2 linked regions of the Callithrix jacchus genome follow. The protein of the gene in region 1 binds, or shares a complex with, the protein of each later gene. Links are inferred from orthologs where the notes say so. Each region holds a gene or a part of one and is shown on either strand. Other genes may lie near its edges. The genes, in order: WRAP53 and GAR1.

The links.
Region 2: WRAP53 (region 1) and GAR1 share a complex: the UniProt entries of both Homo sapiens proteins name them as parts of the telomerase holoenzyme complex. The link is inferred for Callithrix jacchus from reciprocal best matches to the Homo sapiens genes WRAP53 and GAR1.

Annotation. Positions count from the first base shown.
Region 1 is NC_133506.1:74,182,080-74,196,986, forward strand, and holds the end of WRAP53 (telomerase Cajal body protein 1), read left to right. Parts: intron 1-6,611; coding exon 6,612-6,700; intron 6,701-7,539; coding exon 7,540-7,648; intron 7,649-7,755; coding exon 7,756-7,888; intron 7,889-8,442; coding exon 8,443-8,651; intron 8,652-8,834; coding exon 8,835-8,938; intron 8,939-9,084; coding exon 9,085-9,219; intron 9,220-9,333; coding exon 9,334-9,580; 3' UTR 9,581-9,596; downstream 9,597-14,907. Other genes in the region: EFNB3 (ephrin-B3), read left to right, coding at 11,682-11,803, 11,945-12,079, 14,047-14,339, 14,526-14,618, 14,727-14,831. UniProt on the Homo sapiens protein: RNA chaperone that plays a key role in telomere maintenance and RNA localization to Cajal bodies. Specifically recognizes and binds the Cajal body box (CAB box) present in both small Cajal body RNAs (scaRNAs) and telomerase RNA template component (TERC).
Region 2 is NC_133504.1:87,416,603-87,432,041, reverse strand, and holds the end of GAR1 (H/ACA ribonucleoprotein complex subunit 1), read left to right. Parts: intron 1-403; coding exon 404-558; intron 559-1,339; coding exon 1,340-1,399; intron 1,400-3,622; exon of another isoform or gene 3,623-3,745; intron 3,746-4,896; coding exon 4,897-5,038; intron 5,039-6,421; coding exon 6,422-6,493; intron 6,494-6,882; coding exon 6,883-6,896; 3' UTR 6,897-7,200; downstream 7,201-15,439. Other genes in the region: RRH (visual pigment-like receptor peropsin), read left to right, coding at 10,643-10,748. UniProt on the Homo sapiens protein: Required for ribosome biogenesis and telomere maintenance. Part of the H/ACA small nucleolar ribonucleoprotein (H/ACA snoRNP) complex, which catalyzes pseudouridylation of rRNA.

The sequences.
Region 1 (14,907 bases):
CAATTTCTCCATGTTGCCCAGGCTAGTCTCAAGCTCCTGGCCTCAAGTGATCTGCGGCAGGGGTGAGTCTTGTTGGCTCATTAAAAGAAGAAAGGTACTGATTTCCAAGACTGGTCCTGAATGCTTACCTCACATGCAACTCTTAAGAGTGGAGGCTTGGTTGGGCATGGGGGCTCACGCCTGTAATCCCAGCATTTTAGGAGGCTGAGGCAGGCAGATCACAAGGTGAAGAGATCGAGACAATCCTGGCCAATAAGGTGAAACCCTGTCTGTACTAAAAATGCAAAAATTAGCTGGGTATGGTGGCACACGCCTGTATTCCCAGCTACTTGGGAGGCTGAAGCAGGAGAATTGCTTGAATCTGGAGGTGGAGGTTGCAGTGAGTCAAGATCCTGCTACTGCATTCCAGCCTGGCAACAGAGTGAGACTCCATCTCAAAAAGACTGGAGGCTTGCAGACATTGAGTTCTCTGTACAAATTGTAAGGTGTTTTCTTAAGGCTCGGAGTTCAGGAGGGGAGAGGTTGTTTCAAGGCAGGGATAGTTAGAAGAGACTCTGGAAATGTAGGGAGGTTGAATATTGCAGAATTGTAAGAGAAATGGGAGCTGAGTGTGGTGGCTCACACCTGTAATCCCAGCACTTTGGGAGGCTGAGGTGGGTGGATGACCCAAGGTTGGGAGTTCGAGACTAGCCTGACCAACATGGAGAAACCCTATCTCTACTAAAAATACAAAACTAGCCAGGCGCGGTGGTGCATGCCTGTAATCCCAGCTACTCGGGAGGCTGAGGCAGGAGAATCGCTCGAACTGGGGAGGTGGAAATTGCGGTGAGGCGAGATCATGCCATTGCAACCCAGGCTGGGCAACAAGAGCAAAACTTCGTCTCAAAAAAACAAAAACAAAAGTCTGCACGTGGTGGCTCATGCCTGTAATCCCAGTACTTTGGGAGGTCGAGGCTGGCAGATCACATCAGGTTGGGAGTGAGACCAGCCTGGCCAACATGGTGAAACTCCGTCTCTACAAAAAATACAAAAATTAGCTGGGTGTGGTGGCATGCACCTGTAATCCCAGCTACTCAGGAGGCTGAGGCAGGAGATCACTTGAACACAGGAAATGGAAGTTGCGATGAGCCGAGAACATGCTATTGCACTCCAGTCTGGGCAACAAGAGTGAAACTTCATCTCAAAAAATAAATTAATAAATAAAAAGAAAGAAATGGGAATGTTAAAAAGAGAAAAAAATCATTATTACCTGCCACTGCAGAATTTAGCCCTCCGAATTTTTCTACATTTCTTTCTAAGCTCTGTTCAAATACTGAAAGCTTTCATGCGGGTGTAATCATATAGTACATGGTTTTCTACATGCCTTTTTTCCTTTGAACAATCATATTCTAAATGTTTTTCATGGTAGTCTAGTCTTCACAGTTATGTTGTTTAATGGTGTATGATATTGCATTGAGTGCTTATGATAATTTTCTTACCTCCTGTTTTGGACATTGGGGTTGTTTTCAGGATTATTATATCATAAGTTATTCTTTAGTGAACAAATTATCTTCATGTATTTTGGGGGAGGTTCTTCTGTCAAGAGAAAATTTTTTTTTTTTTTTGAGACAGTCTTGCTCCGTCACCTAGGCTGGAGTGCAATGGTGCGATCTGGGTTCACTGCAACCTCTGCCTCCCTGGTTCAAGTGTTTCTCCTGCCTTAGCCTCCCAAGCAGCTGAGATCACAGGCATATGCCGCCATGCCTGGCTAATATTTGTTTTTTTAGTAGAAATGAGCAACAAGAGAAAACTTCATCTCAAAAAAAAAAAGGCTAGGCATGGTGGCTCATGCCTGTAATCTCAGGACTTTGGGAGGCTGAGGTGGGCGGATCACCTGAGGTTAGGAGTTCGAGATCAGCCTGGCCAACATGGTGAAACCCCTTCTCTACTAAAAATACAAAAATTAGCTGGGTGTGGTGGCATGTGCCTGTAAGCCCAGCTACTTTGGAGGCTGGGGTTTCACCATGTTGGCCAGACTGGTCTCAACTCCTGACCTCAAGTGATCCGCCTGCCTCTGCCTCCCAATACTTACCAAATCCCATCAGGTCCACCTTATCTTCCTAATCCATTCACATCTGTCTATTCCACCACTGCTACTTTAATTCAAGGTCCTATTATTTTGGGCCTTATGCTGCTGAAACAGTCCCCTGCCTCCTTTTGCTCATTAAACCCATGTTTACTGACTGCTGATTCTGCACCAGGTGTTGGGGAAGCAGTGGTGAGAGCAAGGCAGATGAGATTCCTTCCTTTTCCCATAGGTATGATGGAAGCAGGGTGGGGAGCACTGAAGACTATAGGAAAGTGGAGCAGGGGTGCCTTGTTCAGCTGGAGGGGTTAGGGAAGCATTCCCAGAGGAAGAAGCATCAAAGAGACCTGAAGGATGATTAGGAGTCACCCAGGAGGAGTCGTTAAGGGAGATGAAGGAAGAATATTCCAGACTTGGAGCCTAGGACATGTGAAAGCTAGTAGATTGAAAGTGTAGCGAGTTGGCACCTTATGGGACCTGAGAGTCAAAATGGCAGGACTCAGAGATTTTAAGAGAATGAGCAGATAGAGATGAGCTTTGAGAGGTGGGTCGGGGTAGCAGCATGGTAATGGAAGGCTAGGAGGAGGAACTGGCAAGATTTGGTATTGGGTTGGACCAGGAGTGGAAAGAAAGTGAAGATGGTAGCAGTAAAGGCTGGTACTCAGATTTCAGGATTGAGCACTGGTTGTGGAGTCCAGGAGGAACAGCAGGTTTGACGGTAGCAGATGCTGGGCCCATTATGGACAAATTGAGTTTGAGGATCCTGTGGGATGGTCAAGTGGCACTGTCCACCAGGCAGTTGGATATATGGGTTCAGGGTAGAGGGGGGACACTGAAGTCATGGTGGGTTGACATCAGCCTGAGGGCCAGCAGATAACTGATGAAGGACGGATGTCCAGACTATTTAAATATTTCTTACAAATCAGTAAGAAAAAGGCAACAATTGGCCAGGTGCAGTGGCTTATGCCTGTAATCCCCACTTTGGGAGGTGGAGGTGGGCAATCACTTGAGGCCGGGAGTTCAAGACCAGCCTGGCTAACATGGTAAAACCCTGTCTCTACTAAAAAATATAAAAATTAGTCGGGTTTGGTGACAACTGCCTGTAGTCCCAGCTACTTGGGAGGCTGAGGCATGAGAATTGCTTGAACCCAGGAGGCAGAGGTTGTAGTGAGCAGAGATTGTGCCACTATATTACAGCTTGGGGAACAGAGAAAAACACTGTCTCAAACAAACAACAAAACCCCCCCAAAACAAAAAACAAAACAACCTAGTAGAACAATGGGCAAAATTTGGCCTGGTGCGGTGGTTCATTCCTGTAATCTCAGCACTTTGGGAAGCCGAGGCAGGCAGATCACTTGAGGCCAGGAGTTTGAGACCAGCTTGGCCAACATGGCGAAACCCCATCTCTACTAAAAATACAAAAATTAGCCAGGCGTGGTGGTGGGTGCCTGTAATCCCAGCTACTTGGGAGGCTGAGGCACAAGAATTGCTTGAGCCTTGGAGGCGGAGGTTGCAGTGTGTGCTGAAATTGCACCATTGCACACTCCAGCGGATAGAGCAAGACTCAAAAGCCTGGGGGGAAAGAAAGAAAGAGAGAGAGAGAGAGAGAGAGAGAGAGAGAGAGAGAGAGAAGAAAGAAGAAAGAAAAGAAAGAAAGAGAAAGAAGAGAGGGAGGGAGGGAGGGAAAGAAGGAAGGAAGGAAGGAAGGAAGGAAGGAAGGAAGGAAGGAAGGAAGGAAGGAAAAGAAGAAAGAAAGAAAATGAGCAAAATTTATGAAAAGATACACCTAATGGCTAGTAAGCATAGAGGAAATATCTAAACTCTCTTACAGTAATGATGGAAATAGAAATTTATGCTGTAATGAAAGCCCATTTCACTGCCTTCATATTAAGAAATATGTAAAAGTCTGGCAATACTAAGAGGATAAAGAACGATCCTTTTTTTTTTGGAGACAGGATCTTGCTCTGTTGCCCAGACTGGGATGCAGTGGTGCAAACATGGTGCACTGCAGCCTCAACTTCCTGGGGTCAAGCAATCCTGCTGCCTCAGCGTCCCGAACAGCTGGGACTACAAGCATGCCACCATGCCTAATTTTTTAATTTTTTGTAAAATTGAGGTCTTGTTATATTGCCCAGGCTAGAATAGAGATTCCTACATGCTGCTGGTGGGAGAGGACATTGGGATGAGTGCTTTGGGAAAGAAATGGACATTATAGTATCTTACAAAGTTGGCAAAGTGCATAGCATAGAGACCAGTAATTTCACTCATCAGCAGAAACTGTAGAGAAACACTTCTACATATGTACAGAATGTTAAAGCACACTAGCCAAAAAATAGAACGACGTCAGTGACTCAACAGAAGCAGGGTAAATCAGTTTGAATGTATTCATGAGTGGAGTACTGTACAGCAGTGAAAAGGTATGAATTACAGCAAAATGTGTTACCATGGTTAAAGCTCACTATCACAGAAGGATACATATGATATGATATCATTACTGTTAGGTGTAGGCTGGGCATGGTAGCTCATGCTTGTAATCCCAGTGCTTTGAAAGGCTGAGGTGGGTGGATTGCCTGAGGCCAGGAGTTTTAGACCAGCCTGAGCAACATAGACCCCTGATCTACAAAAAAATAATTTAAAAAATTAGCCAGACATGGTGGCATGTGTCTGTCTTCCTAGTTACTAGGGAGGCTGAGGCTGGGGGACTGCTAGAGCCCAGGAGTTTGAGGTCACAGTGAGATGATTGCACCATTGCACTCTAGCTTGGGCAAGAGAGCAAGACCCTGTCTCTAACAAAAGAAAAAACTAAGTATAATGACCTGCCAGAGAACGTTAGATACTGTTTTTTTTCACAAATTTCCCATATGAATATATTCCTAGGTCGGGCGCAGTGGCTCACACCTGTAATCCCAGCACTTCGAGAGGCTGGGACAGGTGGATCACTTGAGGCCAGGAGTTTGAGACCAGCCTGGCCAAGATGGCAAAACCATGTCTCTACTAAAAATACAAAAACTAGTCGGTGATGGGGGGATGGAGGTAGCAAACCACCTTGCCATGTGTGTACCTATGCAACAATGCTGCATAATCTGCACATGTACCCCAGAACCTAAAGTAAAATTAAAAAAAGAAAAAAAATATTAGTCAGGTGTGGTGGTGAACTCCGGTAATTCCAGCTACTGACGCTCAAGAATCACTTAAACCCTGGAGGCAAAGGTCGTGCCACTGCACTCCAGCCTGGGTGACACAGTGAGACTCTGCCTTAAAAATAAATAAAGTATAATATAGTCCTAAATAAATGTATGACAATGATAAATTCAGTATATTGTTTACCTCTGAGGGAGAGTTTCTGTTAGGAAAGGGGTTTAAACATAGTTTTTTCTTCAGCTGGATGTTTGAACTGCTTACTTTTTTTCCTTCATTTTTATAGGGAAGTTACTTTTTTTGTTTTCATTTTTGTATTTTTGAGACAGCTTTTCACTCTGTCTCCCAGGCTGGAGTGCAGTGGCACCATCTGGGCTCACTGCAGTCTCTGCCTCCTGGGCTCAAGTGATTCTCATGCCTCAACCTCCCTAGCAGCTGGGACTACAGGCATGTGCCACCATGCCTAGATAATTTTTTTTTCCTCGAGGAGACAGGGTTTTACTATATTACCCAGGCTGGTCTTGAACTCCTGGGCTCCAGTGATCTGCCTGCCTCAGCCTCCCAAAGTACTGGTATTACAGGTGTGAGCCACTGTGCCCTGCTGATGGATTTTTTTTTTTTTTTAGACAGTGTCTCTCTCTGTTGCCCCGGCTGGAGTGCAGTGGTGCAATCTCAGCTCACTGCAACCTCCACCTCCTGGGTTCAAGGGATTTTCCTGCCTCAGCCTCCCGAGTATTTGGGATTACAGGGGCCTGCCATCATGCCTGGCTAATTTTTGTGCTAATATTTTTTTAAAGGGTCAAATGGCACCTAACATGTACTCAGTAAATATTTGAATTACTGGTTAGTTCTTTGTGTCTGGGTTGGGGTATTATTATTTGTTTCTTCCTCTCTAAGTGTTTAAAAAGAAAAAGTAAGAGGCTGGGCATGGTGGCTCACACCTGTAATCCCAGCACTTTTGGAGGCTGAGGTGGGTAGATCACCTGAGGTCAGAAGTTCAAGACCAGTCTGACCAACATGGAGAAACCCTGTCTCTACTAAAAATACAAAATTAGCCTGGCGTGGTTGAGCATACCTATAATCCCAGCTACTTGGGAGGCTGAGGCAGGAGAATCTATTGGAACCGGGAGGCAGAGGTTGCTGTGAGCCGAGATCACACCATTGCACTCCAGCCTGGGCAACAGGAATGAAACTCCATCTCAAAACCTTTTTAAAAGAAAAGAAAAAGTATGAATCTATATGGCTTTTGGTGGCTAAATCTGACATTAAAGTCTGAGCTCGCCCTTGAACATTGAGACAGAGTCTCTGCTCCGTATATACACCCCATCTGCCACAACACTGCTAGAGGCACATGCCTCAGACACCGTTTCCCTCCGAGTGACTCAGGCATTTGTACATCTCTGTCTAGGTCCCTGTCCTTCGAATGGTGGAAGGTGATACCATCTATGATTACTGCTGGTATTCTCTGATGTCCTCAGCCCAGCCAGACACCTCCTAGTAAGTAATGTCCTTTGCCTCTCTGTTCGCCACCCCACCTCCCAGTTTCAAGCGGGTCCTCTTGGGAGAGTCAAGGGCTGCCAGGGTCCTTCAGAAGAGGAAAGCTTGTCATGCTCATCAGAGGGGCTGGTCAGTTGGCTTCCTCCCCTTCTTTTTTCTTTTTTGAGATTGAGTCTCACTCTGTCACCTAGGCTGGAGTGCAGTGGCACAATCCATGCCCAGCTAAGTTTGTTTGTTTTTTTTTTTTGAAATGGAGTCTTGCTCTGTCATCCAGGCTAGAGTGCAGTGGTGTGATCTCTACTTACTGCAACTTCTACCTCCTGAGTTCAAGCAATTCTTCTGCCTCAGCCTCCTGAGTACCCACTTTGCCTGGCTAATTTTTGTATTTTTAGTAGAGACAGGGTTTCACCATGTTGGCCAGGCTGGTCTCGAACTCGTGACCTCGTGATCCACCCTCCTCAGCCTCCAAACGTGCTGGGATTACAGGCATGAGCTACCGCACCTGCCCTGTATTTTTGTTTTTTTGAGACAGAGTCTTGCTCTGTCATCCAGGCTGGAGTGCACTGGTGCAACCTCGGCTCACTGCAACCTCAACCTCCCAGGTTCAAGCAATTCTCCTGCCTCAGCCTCCCAAGTAGCTGGGATTACAGGTATGCACTACCATACCCAGCTAATTTTGTGTTTTTAGTAGAGACAGGGTTTCACCATGTTGGCCAGGCTGGTCTCGAACTGACCTCAGGTGATCCACCTGCCTCGGCCTCCCAAAGTGCTAGGATTACAGGCGTCAGCCACCGCGCCCGGCCATTCCTCCCCTTCCTTTGACAGCACAAGGGTTTCAGTGTCCATGTCTCTCTCAGTGTAGCCAGCAGCAGCCGGGAGAACCCTATTCATATCTGGGACGCATTCACTGGAGAGCTCCGGGCTTCCTTTCGTGCCTACAACCACCTGGTAGGGACCTTCACACTCAGCCCTAGTATTTCTGCTGGCCTGGCTCTCCTTCCTTTAGGGAAGCTGAGGCTTTGCAAGACATGTTTTCAGCCCTTTTCTTTTCCCAGGATGAGCTGACAGCAGCCCATTCACTCTGCTTCTCCCCGGATGGCTCCCAACTCTTCTGTGGGTTCAACCGGACTGTGCGTGTTTTTTCCACGGCCCGACCCGGCCGAGACTGCGAGGTCCGAGCCACATTTGGTAAGCATCTGTGCCTCCATGGGGGGTGGAGAGAGAAGCGTGCTGCCTCCTGCATAGGTCCTTGTGTGAGCCAGGGGCCACCTGTGGAGTTTCATGCCGTCATGTGTACAACCCTGGGAGGCAGCTGCAGCCCAGTTGACAGAGGAGAAAGCAGACTCAGAGCATGTAGGAAACCTCCCCAAGGTCAACCAGCCGGTCAGAGGACGGCTTAATTCCTGAACCCATGCCCTGTCAGCTGTGGAGCTTTTGGTCTCTGAAATCTTTCTAGAAAATTTTTCATGAAGCTGATTCTGTTTTCCTGTAGGCCTTCAACTTGCATCTCTCCAAGGAAAAACTGGAATTTGAGAGGGATGAAGTGGGCGTGGGGCTTGGTGTTTAGGTCATTTGGGAGGATAGATGTGGGAAGCATCAGAGGTCTTTATCCTGCTCCTGACAAACAGCGTGGGGGAGATGTGTTGAGTGCAAGCATGCTGGTGCTGGGATGGGAGACAGAGCTCTGCTTGGTGGGGCCAGGAGCTACAGCCCCTTCCCCACTTTGTTCCTTCCCTCTCTAGCAAAAAGGCAGGGCCAGAGTGGCATCATCTCCTGCATAGCCTTCAGCCCAGCTCAGCCCCTCTATGCCTGTGGCTCCTACGGCCGCTCCCTGGGTCTGTATGCCTGGGATGATGGCTCCCCTCTTGCCTTGCTGGGAGGGCACCAAGGGGGCATCACTCACCTCTGCTTTCACCCCGATGGCAACCGCTTCTTCTCAGGAGCCCGCAAGGTAGGGGTCATACTCTGAGAGCTCAAAGCAGCTGGGCAGGAGTGGGGATGTAGTCTGCAGTGCAGGGGGATGGTGATGGGGATGGGGAGAAATCCCAAGCTGACGGAGTGCCTGGAGACCCTGAGGGAGGCAGGGACATCTAGGGCTTGGGGGGCCACTCCAGGTCCTGTTCTGTGTCTCTAGGATGCTGAGCTCCTGTGCTGGGATCTCCGGCAGCCTGGTTACCCACTGTGGTCCCTGAGTCGAGAGGTGACCACCAATCAGCGCATCTATTTCCATGTGGATCCGTGAGTGGCCGTGGCTCCTTCCCACACAGGGCCCTGATAAGCCTAGGAATGTCAGGGCTCAGCTGTGGGGTCCCAGCCCCTGGGTGTGGGGAGTTCCTGCCCCGGGGATGATGCCTCTGCCAGCAAATCTCTCCTCTCTCTTCCAGGACTGGGCAGTTCCTAGTGAGTGGCAGCACGAGCGGGGCCGTCCAAGTGTGGGACACGGGCGGGCCTGGCAATGATGGGAAGCCGGAGCCTGTATTGAGTTTTCTGCCCCAAAAGGACTGCACCAATGGCGTGAGGTCCTCACTTCAATTCCAGAGATGTTGGGGATTGGGTTGGGGAAGGAGGTGAATCCCAGAGGGAGCAAGTGTTCTTACTGAAGGTGCTGACAGACCCTCTCATCTCTCCCTCAGCCTGCACCCTAGCCTGCCTCTCCTGGCTACCGCCTCCGGTCAGCGTGTGTTTCCAGAGCCCACAGAGAGTGGGGACGAAGGGGAGCCAGAGCTGGGCCTTCCCCTGCTCTCTACGCGCCATGTCCACCTTGAATGTCGGCTTCAGCTCTGGTGGTGTGGGGGGGGCCCAGACCCCAGCATCCCTGATGACCACCATGGCGAGAAAGGGCAGGGAGGGATGGAGGGAGGTGACAGTGAGCTTATGTAAAAAGGTTTTTATGATACTAGAGTCTTTGTGTCTGTTTGGGGAGGCACATGAGTGAGGTGGGAGCGGGCAGGGGAACTGGCGGGCTCCCTTGTCCAGCAGCAGTGGGTATGGCATATTGTTCCTGAAACCAGGGATCGAGAGGTGGGACTAGGCAGGAGCCAATGGGGTGGCTGAGCTTGGTGTGAAGTCAAGTGGGTGGGGGTGGGGCTTCATGCCATTGACTGGTTGGTTGCTAGGCAACTTGGTAAACTGAAGGGGGAAACCTGTTTGAAATCTCACTCCCAAGGTGGGGGCAGCAGGGGTCAGGGTGAGCCAGGCTGAGCAGAAGCTGGGTCAGACTGTTGGGTGTGACCGTGTGAGACTGTGCAGACAGTGACAGGGTGACCGTCACCTAAATTCCACACTGTTTGCCATGTTCCAGCAGCACAGGGACCATTACTCAGCTCTGAGGGGAGCAGGAACCTGTCCCTCCCCTCCCCAGGGCTCTCCAGGAGGCAGACAACCCAGTTGCCAGAGTCAAGGACACACGAAAGAGTAAACGTGTCAAAAAATATACAGTCGTCACCTTTGGTATTGCCGTTAGATGCAGGGCATGGCAAGGGTCTTATTCAGCAGCTGTCGCTGGGCTTGTTTCCCCATTTGTCTGTTCTGTCTTTGGGGGTGGGGGACGAGTGTGTCATTTGAAGCAGTGACTCCTCCCTCCTCCCCCCAACACCTTCCCAAACACTGAGAATGGGGGGCCTTTGAAGAGATACCGCCAGCAGGGGATGTGATTTTGGACCTCACAAAGGGAAGGGAGGAAAGGCCTGTGGAGGCTTGAGAGAGGAGAGGAATGTCACCCCTGCCCAGAGGTGCTGAAAGCCAGGGCTCTTACCCCCGAAAAGGCAACTCCTCCCTTCCCCCAGGATAATTGGAAACAGCCCTTCCTGCGGCAGTGCCGATTTGGGGTTGTAGGTATGCCCCTGCCTCTCCAAGCCCGGCTTCTCCCCCCAGCCATCTAGGAAAGGCCCAAGTGTATCCCCTAAACTCCTGTCCCACTAACCCCCAGGTTAACAGCACACGGTAGGTCCATGGAGTGGTGACAAAAGAGACCCCAGTAGTGGGAGTTGAACAGCCTGGGTTTGGTCTCTAGCTTTATCCTAGACTTCCTGTGTGACCTTGGGCAAGTCATGGGGGTCTCCCTGAGCCTCAGTTTCCTCATCACTGCAATGGGATCGTTAGCTCTGCCCCTGCCACTTCACACAGGTAGTCGTGACGATCAGCTCCGCCGCACTTTGTAAATTGCCAAGCCGTCAAGGTTATTATTATTCTCTCCAGACCTGCCGGGAGCAGCGGTGTTGTTTTGGGACGGAGGAGGATGCAGGAGCACAAGGGGTGGGTTCCTCTGGGTGGAGAGGGCGAGAGCCTTTCTGGATTCGAGAGAGGAAGATTCCAGCAGCTTGGGCAATTGGAGGGCAGGAGGGGAGACGGGCAGAACTCAGCCGGAGCCAGAGGCTCGGAGAGACAAAGGGGGCGTGAGAGCCCGCGCCGGGGGCTGAGGCGGGGCGGCGGGCGGGAGGTGCGCGAGGTGAGGGAGGTGTGGGGGGCGTGGGCCGCGGGATGCTGCCGCCCGCTCCGCCTCGAGCTCCAGCTCCGGTTTTTCCCTCCACCATCCTCTCCCCCTCCCCGCCTCTCCTTTAACTCCCCCCTCCTGGGCTCGGGACTGGTTTCCTCCCTTAGCCCGCTGCCCTCAATCCCGGCGAGGCTGGGGCTCCGGCTCAGCGCCCCCTTCCTCGCTCCGTGGTCCGACGCCCCATGCCGCCCCCGCCCAGACCCCGGCTCCCCCAGTCCCCCACTTAGGCGGGCTCACAGATCCCGGGGTGCTGGCGCGTGGGCCGGGGGCGCGTAGGGCGCCTGCAGACGGCCCCTGGAAGGGCTCTGGTGGGACTGAGCGCTCTGCTGCGGGGGCGCGGGCACAGCAAGAGGCAGGTCCGCGTGGGCGCTGGGGGCATCAGCCACCGGGGTGGTCCGGGCTGAAGAGTCAGGCAGCCAAGGCAGCCACCCCAAGGGGTGAGCGACTTTGGGGGAGTTGGTGCCCCGCCCCCCAGGCCTTGGCGGGGTCATGGGGCCCCCCCATTCTGGGCCGGGGGGCGTGCGAATCGGGGCCCTGCTGCTGCTGGGCGTTTTGGGGCTGGTGTCTGGGCTCAGTCTGGAACCTGTCTACTGGAACTCGGCGAATAAGAGGTGAGCGGCCTGGGGCCGGGGAGACCCCAGACCCTAGGGCAGTGGGTAGGGAAGCTTTGGGGACTTTGGGGGCTGGCTTCTGTGGGCAGGGAGGAGGCGGGAGGGAAGGCGCTGGTGCTGTGATGTGTGATGGGTTACTAGACAGGTGATCTTGGGAGCCAGACTCCGGGTCCCATGCAGAGCTGGATGCAGGTGGTGCTATGGATGTGTCAGGAGTTTGGAGACCCCGAAGGGGCAAGGAGAAGAAAGTTCATGGGTAGCCAGGAGGGCAGTGAGGTGGGTATTTGGATCTATGGGAGGCCTGCGTTGGGGGGCTGGGCTTGGAGGGAGCCTGGTTACTGTCAGCTCTCAGGAGAGAGCTGCAGATAAGGTGCTGCGAGTCGCTGAGGGGAAGGCAGGGCAGGGTGCCTCCCTCCCCGCTGGAGGAACTCAGCGTCTAAGATGGGAGGCAAGGGGGTTTCGTTTGGGGACTCTGGGGACAACTTCCCCAAGGCTCTTTGACAATCTTTGACAGTCTGTCTCCCAACTCTTCTGCACAGCCAGAGGGTTGGTGAACTGTTGGCTGAACGATTTCCCAGCCAGAACATATTCCTGCCTTCCTGGCTTGCAGGCATCTTTCTGGAAGAAGCCTCCAGCCCACTGAACCCTCCTTCCTTCCCTTTTGCATCTGGAGTCCTGAGGACTCCATTGCCCCCTCCCCCAATCTTTGATCCAAACTCTTCCATCAGACCCTCTGTTCCGTGGCATGCCTGCTTTGCTCTGAAAAGAGGCCAGGGGTCAGATGAAACTTCAAGTCACACTGGGTAGGACAGAACCTTTGGGAGGTCATCTGGGTCCCTTGCCTACATGCAGATCCCACTTGCCACTCAGAAAAGAGTTCTGTGTTTTGAAGAATTCCTACTTCCCTGGGGAGACTGTGTGAGGCCATGGGAAGCGGGTGGGCTTTGGAGCTCATCAAATCCTTGGTCTTAATCATAGCTCTGCTGCTTTAAGCTGTGTGGCCTTGGGCATGTCACTTAACCTTTCTGAGTTTGTATCCTTAATCCTTACAGCTATTACCGGGATTAGCGGTAAGATGTTGAAATTTATTATGTGCTCATTAATGGAGAGTTTGGATTATTGTTCCACTCTTTAGTTCCCAGACTCCCTCACATTTCCCTGCCCTGCCATCCCTCCCTCTCTGTCTCCCGGATCTCTTTGGGTATAATCTCAATGTCTTTTCTGTACTCAGTCACCCACTTGCCAACTCCCAGCTGCAGTTTGAGTATTAGGTGTGTAGCTTGAGAACATAAGCTTATTTTCACAGGGTAGAGAAAAGGGAGTTGGGGTGTCCTGGGGGCTCTTTTGGATGTGGGATGGGAGTGGGACACTTGGGAGTCTGAGAAGATGTCAAGTAGCAGTCCCATGGGATCCAGTCCTGAGACCCTGTCTCAGCTATTAATGCCCAGGAAGGGGTTGCAGGGTTGGCAAGTTGCGGCTGTGCTGGGACAGTGGATGCCTGGGTGCTCTGGCCAAGGAGATGGTGAACTGTGTTGGTCGTGGTTAGAAAAGTCAATTCCTTTCCTTTCCAAAGCAATAGGGCATTTGCCCCAGGAAGTCTAAGACCCAGGGTGGGATTCTGAGCAGGAGAATGACTCAGGCAGCAGGTCTCTAGACCCTGGTTCCCATCAGCCCCATTGATGGTCATGGCCAAACCGGGCATTTGCCCTCCGTCCTATTACCTGGCTAATTTAAGACACTGGTCTGGATCACCCTCCACACAGCCCCTCCCTGACCCATTTCCTATGCCCTGAAATCCCTGAAATTCAGTGGTGGCCTGGAGGAGGGGAGGCTTTGCCCCCATGGTTGGCTGCCATGGAATAGTGAAATCACCTGGGAGGGGTGGGCTGTGTGGTTCCAGAGAGGCCAGCTCCTTGGTAACTGGCATCCTGTTGCCATGGCAACAGGGCTGGTGATGGAGCGGGAGATGGCAGTGTGCATGTGGTGAGGGCAGGCTGAAGAGTGCATTTGGGCACACCAAGGGGCAGGAGACCTCTGAGCCTGGCTTCCTGCTGCTTCCAGTGTGAACGCACTGGAAGAGTCCTTGGTGCCTGCTTGTAAGAACAGACTTTCCACTCAGACAAAGGCGGGCAGGCGTAAGCTGAGGATTGTTGTCCTGGAGGGTTTCGGGGTGAGGGAGGGAAAGCTCTGGGGGCCAGGCCTCTGACATCTCTTCCTTGTCCACCTCACCCTTCTCCCCATAGGTTCCAGGCAGAGGGTGGTTATGTACTCTACCCTCAGATCGGGGACCGGCTAGACCTGCTCTGCCCCCGGGCCCGGCCTCCTGGCCCCCACTCCTCTCCTAATTATGAGTTCTACAAGCTGTACCTGGTAGGGGGTGCCCAGGGCCGGCGCTGTGAGGCACCCCCTGCTCCAAACCTCCTTCTCACTTGTGATCGGCCAGACCTGGATCTCCGCTTCACCATCAAGTTCCAGGAGTACAGCCCTAACCTTTGGGGCCACGAGTTCCGCTCACACCACGATTACTACATCATTGGTACTGCTGGGCAGAGAGCACAACTGAGTTGGGGGCTGCTCCTGACACTGAGCAGAGAGGGAGGGGGACCACTGGAGCCAAGAGGAAGACCCCAGTGCCCTCAGGCAGTGTTCACACCAGGGTGTGGGGCCAGAACCCGGCTAGACTCTGGAGTGCCAACCTCTCCCTCTGGCTTTTCCCTCCCAGCCACATCCGATGGGACCCGGGAGGGCCTGGAGAGCCTGCAGGGAGGCGTATGCCTAACCAGAGGCATGAAGGTGCTTCTCCGAGTGGGACAAAGTGAGTAGGGCTGGAGGACACCTCCCGGGATGGGAGGGACATTGGGGCAGGACGATCATGGTCAAGGGCGGTTGTTTCAGTGCCTCTCTCTGCTCTTCCTCATCTCAGGTCCCCAAGGAGGGGCTGCTCCCCGAAAACCTGTGTCTGAAATACCCATGGAAAGAGACCGAGGGGCAGCCCACAGCCTGGAGCCTGGGAAGGAGAATGTGCCAGGTAGGAACCAGGGTCCAGCCCCCCGCCTTCCCCAGCTTCCTCTGCTCTCAGACCCCAGCTGCCCTGCCATCACCCT
Region 2 (15,439 bases), on another chromosome or scaffold:
GCAGAGTTTTGAATCAGATAATACGTTATAATAAGATAACTGTTTAGGTTGAATGGTCTCAGTGTGCCAGGCACTATTCTAAGCACTTGACATTTGTTATTCCATTTAGTCCTTACAATACTCTTTTAGGTGTAGATATACATGATATGGTATTAGTGCATACTAAAGATGAGACACTGAATTAGAGAGAGGGTGGGTGACTTCTCTTAGGTCACAGAGCTAGTGTGTTGTGGAGTCTGTAAACCAGCCCAGGAAGTCCACACTCTTAATGACTGTGGTCTTCTGCCTCACAGGAGAGCAGATATGGTGAAGTGCTGGTAGCCAAAAAGAAAGCTTCCAGGAGAAGTTCGTCAGTATCATTTGAAATAGTTCTATGTTTTAACATTTTCTTGTTCTATTTCAGTGTTAGGAGAGTTCCTCCATCCCTGTGAAGATGACATAGTTTGTAAATGTACCACAGATGAAAATAAAGTGCCTTATTTCAATGCTCCTGTTTACTTAGAAAACAAAGAACAAATTGGAAAAGTGGATGAAATATTTGGACAACTTAGAGATTTTGTATCCTTTTTAATTGGAAGACTGAATAATATTCAAAGGTTGCTATTTGTATTTTTCTGAGGCAGTTAAGTATAAATTAAACTTGTTTTATTTAATTAGACAGGATTGCTACATACTGGACCATGAAGGAGAATCAAGGGGAGGATGTATTCATCCATAGGTATTAAAATGACAGACCCTAGAAAGGTGAGGTTTTTTTTGGGAAAGTTCTAGAAATGATGGCCATTTGGATAAGTCCTACAGGATTAAGTTGGTTGATTTGGATATAGTGGTGCCTCTGGAAATGTAGAATTAGAAGTTGTTTGGTGCCCCCACTACTGTGGAAACTCTTCTCTCCTCTTCCTCTTCCTCTTTCTCTTTTTTTGAGATAGATACTCTGTTGCCCAGGCTGAAGTGCAGTGGCACGATCTCAGCTCACTGCAACCTCTGTCTCCTGGGTTTGAGCAATTCTCATACCTCAGTTTTTCAAGTAGCTGGGATTACAGGTGAGTACCACCTTGCCCAGCTAATTTTGGTGTTTTTAGTAGAGATGGGGTTTTACCATGTTGGCCAGGCTGGTCTCAAACTCCTGGCCTCAAGTGATCGACCTGCCTTGGCCTCCTAAAGTATTGGGTTTGCAGGCATGAGCCACCACGCCCAGCCCCCTGGAAACTCATTTTTTATTTTTCATATATATATGTCCATGTATTCTAATCTTGTTTTTGAAATTATACATAAATTCATAAGGTTCGATATTACCTTTCATCTTAATTGCTAATTTGTTCCTTAATGAAAGTAATAGTATTTTTCAGTTAAATTGTCAGAAAATATGAAGGCTTCATCCTTTAAAAAACTGCAGAAGGTGAGTCATACTTACGTTACTTGGGATCCTTGGTTTTATAAGGGAATGACCTATCTTAGGAAAGTACTACTTAGGGCACTTGAGACTTCCCCAGTATATCACTAGTAAAGCTCTTAAACTGAAATGTTCTGTGCTATAAATATTGAACATACTAATCTTTAAAAGTAATTTATTTGATACAACCTTTTAGAAAGTAAAAATTACAGATTTTGCTCATATTAACAAGATCTGTAACCGCTAGAGTAAGAGATTTCGTTTATGTAAAACTCATATTGAAAAACTTTAATGACCAAACACTCTAGGTAAAATCTTACGTTATTTGAGAGAACGTAGGTACTGAATGATTTCCCAAGACATCAACAGCATATGCTGTGAAAGAAAACTACAGGTTGCCATGAGAAACTGTAGTGCCACCAACTTTAGTAATGTTTCCTGAAAAAGTGAGCTTGAAGCTTAGGCCTGATTGTTGACTAGAAGTGATTTCCACACCTGGTTGCATGTCAGAGTTATCTTGGGGAGCTTTTAAGAAGATGTACTTCAAGTTTCCACTTGAGGAAATTTGACCTAGGAGCTCTTAAGTAGGGTTCAGGATTCAGTTGTAAAAAGGAAAAGCACTTGGATAGTTTTGATGTAGTTAGGCAAATACTTGAGAGGCGCTGAGCTAGTCAAAGAGAAAGAGGAAAGTACATTCCAAGTAGAGAAAAGAGTATATGCAGTCTCCGAGACAGCAAGCAACTGAAAGGAAATAAAAAGGCAAATGTATAGGTTGGGAAGGAAGCATTTAGGAGAGGTTGGGAAAGTTGTGAATTAAGACCAGAGAGGTAGGAGGGGGCTTGATTCACTTAAGCCTTCAGGTCATAGGAAAGAGTTTAGACTTTAGTTTCAATTGTGTTTTGCTTTTTTTCTTGAGGCAGCGTTTCACTCTCGTTGCCAAGGCTGGAGTGCGACAGCATGATCACGGCTCACTGTAACTTCTGCCTCGCAGGTTCAAGTGATTCTCCTGTCTCAGCCTCCTGAGTAGCTGGGACTACAGGCATATGCCACCATGCCCGGCTAATTTTGTATTTTAAGTAGAGATGGGGTTTCTCCATGTTGGTCAGGCTAGTCTCGAACTCCCCACCTCAGGTGATCCGCCTGCCTCGGCCTCCCAAAGTGCTGGGATTACAGGTGTTAGCCACCACTCCCGGCCATGTTTTATTTTTGAATAATGGGATAATACAGTTAGTTGTATGCTTCAGAAGAACACTGGGAAGATAAAAAAGCACCTTGGGAAGAGGGCAATATTGTGTGAGGGGACAGGTAGGAGGTTATAATAGTTGTTCTAACTATAAAAAGTGGGTGGATTTATGAAAGGTACAGGAAGTAGAATCAACAGGATGGATATTGAAGAAGGGAAAAATATCACCATCTTTCAGATGTCTGATGTCAACATCTTTGTGGGTGATGGTATCGTTTAATGAAATGGGCAACAATGCAGAAGAGGAGGGTTGGGGAAAGATAATGAGTTCGGTTTTGGACATAGTGAGGTGAAGGTACTTGTGAGATGGTCAAATCGTCAGGAGTTTAAAGGAAGAGTCTAGACTGGAGATAGAATTGGGAATTTGTTAAGTATACAGACAGTACATGAAACAGTGTAGGAAGAAAGAATGAGAGGAAAAGAGCACCTATGAAGTTTTGGGACACCTCCTAAAGCTAAATGTCTGTTACTGGAAACTCAGTTAGTGGAAATTGCCAGTTTAAAAAAAAAAGGCAAACCACGAGCCTGCCATAAAAATGGTGTCACAAAAATTGAGAGTGTTTCCAGGAGAGACTGCTCAGCTGTGGCAAAATGCTGCAAAGTGTTCATTGGAAGACAGCCACGTAGACGTCAGGGAATCATGGAGCCAGTGCAGTAGTGGGCCCAGGAGCCAGAATGAAATGGGAAATGAGAAGGAGACAATAGCTTGTTGTTAGCTTATGCCTGCTAGTTGTGGAAACCTTGGCAAGTACTCACAGGAAATTGCTTCAGGTGTGCCTGGAGCTGTTGAGCCCAGAAAGAAACAATGCTGAGAAAGGATTTCCATTTTGTGACCTGAAAAAAAACTGCTGGTAATAGCCACTTAAATTGATTGGAATCCCTCTCCCTTTTCTCAGAATTATTTATTTGAGGGCTTATTATTTAGTTTTTTCGGTTTTTGTTTTTTAACTACAGGTATTAACTTGAGTACATTCTACCTCTCCCAGTTTCCATACCCCCTGCTATGTTGAGATTCAGCCCTCCTTACCCAGCCTGCGTTATTACGAAGTCTGTAGACCAGTGCCCTCTACTTGAACTTTCTGCAGTGATGGAAATCCCTGCCCAGTAAGGTAGCTCTTAGTGACATGTAGCTTTTGAGCACCTGAAGTGTGGCTCATGTAACTCAGGAACTGAATTTTTAATAATTAAATATAAGTAGCCACCTGTGGCTCATGGCTACCACATGGAACAGTGTAGATCTAGATAATATTTTGAGATGATGGGCTATGAAGGGAAGATGAATAATAAGGTGATAGCTAGAGAGGGATTCAGGTATCTTATTCTAAGTAATGTATCACAGTTTTGAAATCCTCATGTGTTTTGTGTAGAAGAACTATGATACAATATGCCCTTTACATTTCATTATCTGAGAAATGTCCTCTTTAGCCCCAATTATGGGATGGGTATAGTTTCTCTATATCCTTCATTACTTTGTGTGTTCAGAAAATAGTTACCCTTTTGATCTTTATTAAAGGCTTGAAACAGCTAGTTTGTGAATGCTTTATTTTGAATTTTAATGCTATGTTTTTTATTTTATTCAAGATAATGCTATGTTTTATTTTTCTTAAGGCAGTTCTTTTGAGTGGAAATGTTAAACCTATTTCTAAAGAGAAATGAGATTGAATTGGTCTTGATTTTTTTATATGCATACAATGCTTATTGTGTGCCAAATTGCAAGTGCCTTATATAGGTCACTTTTGATCATCACACAAACATGTGAGCTAGTTATGTATTCTCTACATTTTACAGATAAAAAAACTAAGGCAAACTGACACAGAAACAGAAAACCAAACACTGCATGTTCTCATTCATAAGTGGGAGTTGAACGATGAGAACACATGGACACATGGTGGGGAACATCACACACCCGGGCATGTTGGGGGGTGGGGGGCAAGGAGAGGGAGAGCACTGGGACAAATACCCAATGCATGCGGGCTTAAAACCTCGATGACAAGTGATAGGTGGAGCAAACCACCATGGCACATGTATACCTATGTAACAAACCTGCACATTCTGCACGTATATCCCAGAACTTAAAATTTAAAAAAAAAGATAAAAGAAAACTAAGGTAGTAAGAAATTAAGTGCTTACCCAGAGATACATTGTGGAAAGAATTAAATTGCAAAACGGAACCCAGTCAGTTTTGACTCTATCATGTAGCTTCTGAATTATTATACTGTCCCCCAAGTCATCACACTAATTGCTTCTATTATGTTTCCAGTTTTATATAGACCCATATAAGCTGCTGCCACTGCAGAGGTTTTTACCTCGACCTCCAGGTGAGAAAGGACCTCCAAGAGGTGGTGGCAGGGGAGGCCGAGGAGGAGGACGAGGAGGAGGTGGCAGAGGTGGTGGCAGAGGTGGTAAGTTACTTGGGGAAAATTTCTGTTGAGATTTTAGAGTCACAGCTAAATTCATATAGTACAATTTAGTTTTGAACATAGCAAACCTCCCTTATGGTAAAGCTGCTTTCAAATATTGACAGATTGTCCATAATAATAATGCTTCATTTCAACAACTTAAACAGAAAAAAAAAAATCTACTGTAGTATACTTTTGAGGGACTTTATTTCTTTGGGTTATTCATGTTTTCTTGGGCATTTTAATAAACCATAAAATCATCTTAATTTTATTATCATTGAGTATAGACTGCATGCTGAAAGCTGGTCATACCTTCTTTTAATTTCTTTGTATATTCTTCTAATCTCAGTGAAACCTTTTGAGATAGATGATATTTTTGTTTTATGAATGAGGAAAACGGAGACTTACAGAAATTAATTTGCCCCCATCAAACAATTGGCAGACCCAGAATTAAAATGCATATCTTCTGATGTCATGTCAAGAACTATTACTAATAAGTTCATTGCTGTGATCTCACTGTTTCCCCAAGGTTTTGGCACATTCATCATTAATTGGCAGCTAGGTGATGAGCAGGGCTCTGGGGAGTGGGGCTGCCATGTCCTGTGAGTAGGGGGAGGGCCAAAGTGGAAAGGGGGAGGAGCTGAAAGTTGGGCTTTTGTTATTGGATCAGAAAAAGAGAAGGAACGATTCGCTTTTGCGTCTCTCAATTTAATCATCATTTCACTCCATAAATGTACTTGTTTGGGTCCATATAGGTAGCAAGGAATATCTTTAAAAAATATCAACATATTTCTCCAATATTTTCAGGGGTACCTTCTTGAGAATTTGATGAATAGAGATTCCCCTATTCTCATTTGAGTATCATTTAACATTTCAAAAAATTCACAACTATCTTATTTTTAAAAAATCTTACCTATGTAGCTCAATTAGCCTTAACTATCATATTTATTATCATGCCCCCAGAGCAAAAGCACCCATAGGTGCCACCCTTTGTTCTTAGGATAAAAAGCCTTCATTCCATCAAACTATCCTTCGTTGAATCAAAAAGTCTTTATCATAAGCAAGAACTAAGGTGATAATTGTACATTTAACAAGACTGAATTATACTTTAAAGTAGCAGGTTTTCTAATTTATTGAAATGGAATACTTGTTTAAAAGGAATCTAGGGTTTTAGCCTGTTGCCAAGTTGGTAAACTACAGTCCCTCCATTTTTATCTTCTAAAATTTTTTCCATGATAAAATATGTGAATATTCATTGTAATTATAGTTATTGTATTGATGTTTGTAGGCTTATCAGCATAAGAGGTTATATAGTTAATAACTGTTCATGTTTATTATTTATATTATTTAAATATTTTGCATTATTATTTAATACATGTTTTTTAGGTGGTTTTAGAGGTGGAAGAGGAGGTGGAGGTGGGGGCTTCCGAGGAGGAAGAGGGGGAGGTGGTTTCAGAGGTGAGTATCTTAAAAAGTCTTTAAATTGCTTGATTTTTAGAATTGATACTAAACAGGCATTTTCTGTTTTTGTTTCAGTTTATTTTTCTCTGCTAGCAAGTATGTAGCACACCGTGATGTTCTTTGCTTAGCCTAATTTGTGGCTTTATTTTATATCACTTTTTGTTTTGCCTTTTCCTTTCAATTTTTTTCACCTAATTCTAATTTGGTTTTGCTTAATTATTAATTTAAAAAATGAAAGTGTAATATGAATGACAGTTAAATTGGGTAAAATATGTTTGCTAAACATTATAGAAACTAATGCTGATTTTAAACTTGAGTTTTAGGTTATAATACTATTAAGAAATCCATTTTCTGTGCCCTTAATACTTCAATTTTCTCTTAATTAGGGAGAGGACATTAAGTGAAATGGTTGACAGACATCACCAGTTGACTTCTGCATAAACCTGTGTCATCTGTTTCTACTGTGGATTGGAAACTTGTTTCTTGAGCAAGTCTTGAAGATCTTGGTCGTTTTATGACAATGGATCTAAAATGTCAGCATTATGCCAAGTACAACGGAATAGTGAATTTTGCTCTAAAAGAGCATGAACAAATCTTTTTAATGTTTTGTATAGTGCCTGGCACTCTGTGGGTGCTTAATAAATGGACAGGAGTTTTCATTTGAAGCATATTTGAATTTTTAAAATAAAGTGTTTATTCCCTTATTTAGAGTGTGTTTATTAAAGAAACCCATTTTTTGAAGTAGAAAGGAACAACTAAAGCTTAAACCCAGTGAATTGCAGATTAAAAAAAGGTTTCTTTTCAATCCTTTTTGATTCTATTTGATCTTTGAAAAAATAGGCTACTAGAGCAGTACTTTATTTACAAATTAATACCCCCTTTCAAAACCCTGGCCTTTTACATATGAGAACATAGCTCTGTGTTTCCCTTTTGTGTTTTAATACATAAATCCGTTAAGCTGTTTCTCTAATTGCATTTAATTATTGATTTAAAAATTTTCCATATTAGCAATGTATTGAAGGTGGAGTAGCTCTGTTTAAGTGAAAACTGTAGTTCAAGAAATTTCTAAAGAAACGGTCAATTTTTCTCAGCCAACATAAATGGAATATTAAAGGTTTTATTGAATGTTATTTCACTTTTACTTTTTTAAAGGGACTCTAAAAGTTTAAGGTGTTATTTACTATACGTGAATATCGATTGCATACCACATGTTCAAATTGCTGGGTAATGATGTTAAAAATGAAATTGGTTTTGGTCACTGTTGCTAGTAGCGTGTAAAGAAATGACCATGGTAGCAAGTTACAATGCCATGATACGGAGCTATTTACCCTGCTATTCATTTTGCACTTCTCAGAAGGAGTGATGTTTCTACATCATTTGTTAAATTTTCTAACATGCTTAACCCTTGAATGCTCATTTGAGGAGCATACAGTGTTGTCTATGTCAGTATTTGGGATTTTATCTCTTTTTTTAATTGATAGAATTGTAGCAGGATTAATAAATACATAGGCCATTAATATATATGATGAGTGAATGTGTTGAAAATTACAGTTTTTACAGGAATAGGCAGTTATGCTTTTACAGCTTAGGAGATCATTTGATTTAGAATTGTGGTGATGAAATTTTCATGGAGTGTAGGGCCAGAGTTTTTGCTCTTGGTTTGGAAAAGAAGTTAGTGAGCATTAGAGGGTGATGGCATTGTCCCAAGGGCAAATAGTAATAGTGCAACATTTCTACAGTTTTTTTTTTAAACATTAAAAATAAATCTATAATGGCAATGTTGGATAAAATGTGATCAGTAGACAAACCACTTGCAGATTTCATCTTTTAGCTTATATATATATATCTTTTGGTCATTGGTCATTGGCCATCTTTAAGCTATTATTTCGACATCGTTTCCCTTTTTTTCCTTATAGTTTCTGGTTTTTTTTTTTTTTTTTTGGAGACAGAGTTTTGCTCTTTTTGCCCAGGCTAGAGTGCAATGGCATGATCTTGGCTCACTGCAACCTCTGCCTCCTGGGTTCAAGTGATTCTTCTGCCTCAGCCTCCTGAGTAGCTGGGATTACAGGCATCTGCCAACATGCCCAGCTAATTTTTATATTTTTGGTAGAGATGGGGTTTCTCCATATTGGTCAGGCTGGTTTCAAACTCCTGACCTCAGGTGATCGCCAGCCTCGGCCACTCATAGTGCTGGGATTACAGGCATGAGCCACCGTGCCTGGCCTAGCTTCTGGGTTTTTTTTTTTTGAGGCATTTTATTTTGAATCAAATTCACTTTTTTTTTTTTTTTTGAGATGGAGTTCCGCTCTTGTTACCCATGCTGGAGTGCAATGGCGTGATCTCGGCTCACTGCAACCTCCGCCTCCTGGGTTCAGGCAGTTCTCCTGCGTCAGCCTCCTGAGTAGCTGGGATTACAGGCACGTGCCACCATGCCCAGCTAATTTTTTTGTATTTTTAGTAGAGATGGGGTTTCACCATGTTGACCAGGATGGTCTCGATCTCTTGAACATTACATTTATACAACGTGAGTATGGGTGGCTATAAGATTTGGGACAGATAAGTCAACCTGTTTACCTTGAGTTTAAACACAGGCAAGAGAACTGAGGCAAAAGGATTATCTTAGGTTTCTTCTGTGCCATTCTAGGATTTACAAAAGATTAAGTGGGTAAATATAGCCCTCTAGTGGTTCTGTTTTATGCTTACACTGTTAACCTTGGTGCATCTAAGCATTTCTCTAATGTTTACTGATTTTAAGAAACTGAGAAGAATCAGATTTTAATAATGTGAATGGAATAAAGAATATGGGGGAAAAGGTAATAGGGATACCTTATTATTCTAACAAAACATGTTTGGGTTAGTTTTCATGTTATAATGTGATAACCCAGAATATTTTTACTCTGCTTTACCATATCAGTGATTGAATTCAGATACTTTGGCAATGTATAAAATGATTACTATCATCAGATAATTTTAATTATGTGCATATCAAACTATAGGATAATTTTTTTTTTGAGATGGCCTCTCACTCTGTTGCCCAGGCTGGAGTGCAGCGGCACAATCTCAGCTCACTCCAACCTCTGCCTTCCAGGTTCAAGCGATTCTCCTGCCTCAGCCTCCTGAGGAGCTTAGATTACAGGTGCGTGCCACCATGCCCGGCTAATTTTTGTATTTTTAGTAGAGATGGGGTTTCACTATGTTGGCCAGGCTGGTCTTGAACTCCTAACCTCATGATCCACCTTCCTCTGCCTCCCAAAGTGCTGGGATTATAGGCTTGAGCCACCGTGCCCAGCCAACTATGGGAAAAATAAACTGAGATGGATGGTGGAGTTGATCATGTTATATCCATGCTATGAAATATATAGCTACTAATAAATTAGACTTTATTAGATTCTGAGATTATTGACCTGAAATTTATAATACAGCCTTAGGGAAAAACAAGTTGCATTATATATGCGTTATATATATACATATATACTTACTTCTTTTCCTCATTTTTGTTTATAAGAAAAAAGTGGAAGAAACCTTAAATACTTGTATGAATATATATTTGTATAAGCAGAGAAAAGCATAAGAAAGAATATGCACCAAAGAATACTGGTACGTTTAGGAGAGGGAGATTCGAAAGTAGGAAGGAGATTACTTCTTTATCACTAATATTTTAATTAAGGAGAAAAAATAAAAGGAGCCACAATGGAAAAACTTGAAGGGTCAACAGAAAACAGGGACCTTAACCTGAATAGTTTCAGAGGACTAAGACTGGCTTTTAATATCAGAACTGATTTCCAGCAGAAATCATTTAAGTCTGCTCCTGCACTGATTTCCTGAGTTTGTTTATTGTTTAATTGTGATGTGTGTGCTTGATAATCTCCTTAGACTGAAGACTGATACCCAAATAGGTTAAAATGTGTAGTGCTTGGTATTTCTTTTTGTTTTGCTAATAAGCTTTTCCCTTATTCTGGGAATTAAAATCCCTTCCTCTTTAGCCCAATTAAATTTGTTAAGGGAGGGCCTCTATGAAAAGGCCCTTCTTTGAGGTCTCTAAGTGGAAATGATTGGTCCTGAAAGATCTTTCCTCAGTAGCTCATAAAACAGTTCATAATTATCAAAGGCTTATTATGAAGGCTGTCTCAGTATCTTCCCTCCAAAATGCTAAGAAATAATTTAGGCAACAGTTCAGACTCTAAAAATGAAGATGGCTCGGTCTTTTCACAGACTGAACACAATATTGTTGCAAGTTACTTGATTATGGCAGGTATGGATGTTTAACAGTTATCTTTCTTTAGGGGGAAGAAAGGCAGAAGTTTTCAGCATAAGGAATGCATTGTTTCAAGTTCCATATTATTGGCCAACCTTAAGAAGTCATTTATCCGACTTGGCTTGCTCGTGTGGTAAATGAGGATGATGATATTCTATTTCTGGGCTGTAAAGATCAAATAAGAGAATGTGGGTGAAAGCATTAGTGATAGCCATTGTCGCGGGTTATTTTGATGTTTGATAATGTAAGAACAGTGAAGTGGGGCTGAGAAAAGTTTTCTATGTAATAAGTAGTTCTTTTATAAAAATCTATATATTTGGTTATTGCATTGTCAAAGTTTTTATTGGAGAAGAGCATGCACCATGGCAAAAATATATTTTTATATCATTTACTATTCTTATACATAATCCTCATATTTTTGTTCTTTGTGGTAGAATTTAGCTAAGGACTTAAAGGTTCTGGAAAGAAAAAGTCCTAAGAAGACAGATCAGAGTATATTGTCATTTAAGGACAGAGTTTGAAAATTCAGCTTGCTCTAGAATACTTATTGGAAAACTCTTGAATTTTGGATTTCATGTTTTAGTATATTTGCAACTGTGAGCAAGTTCCTTCTCCTTTTTGTTCTTCCATTTTCTCACCTGTAAAACAAGGATAAGAGTAAGTTACCTGTCATGATTGTCATAAGGCGTAAAATTAAATGATACATAAATGCCAATAGTAGGTGTTGGGCAAATATTTGTTTCTTTTTCCCTTTCCTCTGTACACACTCACTGATGTAAAGGATTGTTTGCAGAAAAAAACGGATGGGGGAAATGACAGTAGAAACTCTGTCTTTTGATTGTATCATTGAATTGTGTAACTTTTATATTGAGCAATCACTTAATTTTCAACTTTATACTCCGTAACAAGTTTTAGGAGTCACTGTATTATACTGGGTTCATTATTTTTTGGGTGGACTTTTATGAAAATTTCAAACATACTTAAAAGTAGAATGAAAAGTGTAACATATCATCCTATACCCAGTTTATAATTGTTTCGTTTCTTTCTTATAATTCAGCATATTACTTCCAGTGCTAGAAATTGTGAGTTCCTCAGTTAAGTTTTGTGATTTTAGTGACATGTTATCTCGTTCATTTGAATACCTCTGTATGATAAGTACTAAACAAGTACTAGTTTCTTTGTTATTGCAAAAAAGAGAGAAAAATCTCGTAACAATTACATGGAAATACTTTGTATACAAGTGTTTGGTTTAGTTTTTTGTAGATGACCAAAAAAAAAAAACCAAAAAGCAAAAACAAACAACCAGACCTATCCTTTTTTGACCTGGTAACAAAATTAGCATGCAGAAAATATTCTATTTAGTTATTATCCCTGTAACAGTAGTAGTAATAGTAATGTTACTACTGCTACCAATGTTATCATTTGAATACTTGCTATATACCAAGCACTGTTCTAAAACCTTGCACATACAGGATAATTCATCCTTACACTAATTCAGTAAGTTACTTTTCAGTTTTATTTCTCTAGTTTATACTGATGAAGAACTTAAGAATCTTGTCTAACACACACATCTGAGTAGCTACACCAGGATTTGAACCCAGGCATTTTGTTTCTAGAGCCCTCACATATAACTCCATGAGTCAGCTTTATCAAGGTATACAATGTGTATGTGTTGTTCACTTGTGTTTCTTGTGGAGCAACTGAAGGAAGCAGATCTGACCTCTTTATGCTTTTGTTCTGACCCTGTATCAAGCACCTATTTTTCTTTAGATCCCCTAACTTTCCTCCTTTAACAAAATCCACGTAAACTTGCAAATCAAAACCAAAAGTATGAGGAAAGGGTGTAGTGAAAGCATTTATTTCATTTGTTACTTTCACCAAGAGGCTGTTTAGATTTTTTATTTAATCTTTTATTTAGATTTTGGCTCCTATAAACTGTTACCAACTTCCAGTGCGACAGACATTTTGTTAATTTAGTGTCCTTGAGCACTCTCCCTTTCCCCAATTGAGGCCGGGAGGTAAGAGGACATGGTGAATTCGAGAATCTGAGATAAATCATTATGGATGAATCGTAAGATGAAGGGTGAGAGATATGTTGGAAATGATAGCTGAGTATCAGACAGTGATGAGCCATGTAAGTTTTAAAGGTGACAGGGAGTCACTAAAGGATTTGAAACCAGAGTGACATGATCTGATTTGCATTTTAGAAATGCGCTATAGTGGTATCTAAGAAACCACATAGGAGGACATTGCAGTGATTCTGAGGAGGGAATAATGGCAGTGGGGACAGAAAGAAGTAGATACATTCAAGAGCTAGAAGGTGGAATTGATGATTGGATGATAAGACTGTGGGAGGAGAGGAAGCATCAAAGATGACTCCTAGGTTTCTTTTTTTGAGCTACTGAATAGATGGTGATGGTCTTCATCAAGATAGAAACACACCTGGGGAAGAACAGGTTTGAGGCAGGTGAAAAAGTCTCTCAGTTCAGTTTGAGAGGTGTCCAGTAAAAAGCTGGACACATGGGTTTGAGTGTCCGGAGGCTGGAAAGTATCGGTATAGCCTTGGATATGAAGAAATCACTCAGAGTATGTGAAAAGAAAGGGGTCCAAGACAGAAGGTTGGACAATGCACATATTTAATGAGTCAGATGGGGAAAGAAAGGCCAGGAAGTAGATCAAGAAGGGTCTGTCCAAGAGATTGGATGGAAATCACAGAAGACAAGAGAAAAAAATGTTTCAAGGGTGAAAGAGAAGTCAACCTCAAGTGCTACGTAGCGTTTAGACTGACTGTGAGATGGGACTTAACTAAAACCTACTGACTAGGTGATCTATTGTTATACCCATTAGAAGACCTGCATCTGGGGAAACAAGGCAGAGTGTTTGGCACAGCTGCAGAGAGAATAGAGAAAAGCACGAAACTGTTTACTTCATACCCCCCATTATTTCTAAGACTCCCAGAATTATAGTTACTTTATTCTGGTTGTGTACTTGGTAGGCAGCAATTTACTGCACTGTTTTTATCTAACTTTTAAAAAATCATTGAATCTGTAGGTAGCCCAGAAAGATTCTTCATTAAATTCTTCAGAGTATTTTTGTATACATGCGACAATCGTAGATGCTAAAAATAAGGCCAAATTATCAAATTTGCTATCATTGTGTGCTAATTATCTTGAAGGAATGGTAGAAACTAAGCAATATGGGTTTTAGTTGTAGCCACTTGTTAAATAAATCTGCTGTATGTCACATAATCAAAAACCACAGAAATAATGAGGAGCCTGAAATCTACATGAAAAGACTAGGAAAAGTACCAGTTAAATTATATAGAGTCACGTAAGACTATATTATAAGCAAGTCATTCGGAAATTTAGGAAGGAGAGGATAGTGTGGATAGGAGAAGGGTTAAGAGCTTGAACTGAAGTTTGAAGGATGGATGGCATTTGGATAGGCAGAAGGAAGGAGCAGGATGCTCCAAGTGGGAGAAATATGAGTCAAGCATGGTGTATCTGGGACATAACTAGAATAGAGAGTTTGTTTCACAAGTGTAGAAATTTGCTTCTAGAGAGTGACAACAGATTGAGGCAAAGAACCTGGATATCAGGTTGGGACATTTGGATTTTATCCCACAGCCAGTGGAGAATATTACAAGTTCTCGAGAGGTGAAGAACCGTGGTTAATTCTATGTTATAGCAAGCTGATTCTGCCAGAAGCAAGGAGGGGAAAAGAACAGGAATCTGGAAGGTTAGCATAACAGGCTAAGATGGAAGTTCTGAATGAAGTGCCAAGATATGATAAAAGTTTTTACTGAGCTGGTATTGTTGTATGTTGGTGCTTGGAAACTGTCCTTCTCTGACAGTAGTTGGGGATTGATCACCAAGTAATTCTTGACGAGGAATTCAACTCTATTCCTGCTTGTTGCACAACCCTCCTTTAGTCTCTAATAATCCAGTAATGATTCTAGTTTCTTGGCTGAAATCTGTTCACACCCCAGCCCCCACACCCCGTTAGGACCTAGTATGGCCCATATCTGGCTTTTGCCCTTTACAGCATGTAGGGGATGTTGAACATGCACATCCAGTACACTCAACAATACTCCTCAGTGTAAATTAATGCAGTGGCATTCTGGTTGATAAGTGTAGTTATCCGTCCGCCTCAGTGCAACCACTCTGGGGCACTGACAACAATGAGGTCCTGAACCTGCAAGCAAACAGTCAAGAACTTGATTAGGTTGGTATCAGCTGTGAGGCTTCTCTATGAACCAAAAAGCTGACTCAACTTCCTCTCTGGATAGTCAAGTCTTGTAGTATGCATTCTTCTATCAGGGTAGTGGTGTGGGTGTGTGTGTGTTGGATGAAGAATTTGGACATGTTGAGTTTCAAGAAATACTGGAATAGTCATACAATTTTACATATGGTAAATGCTTAGTAAATGTTTAATGACAATGAGTTGAAGGAAAAGAGAAGATGTGGAACTGGAACTTGTGTCATGGCTGGAAATAGTGACAAAAATGCTGTCAGGATAGTATAATAATTGAAGCTTGATAAAGGCAACTATAGAAAAAGAAGAGCCCCAGGACCCAGGAAGGAAGAGGAGGAAGTAAAGCTGCCAAAAAGACGGTATGGTCAGTCACACATTCGTCCTAAAAATCAGCAGGAATGGTAAGAAAGCCAATGAAGGAAGGTCAAGGACAG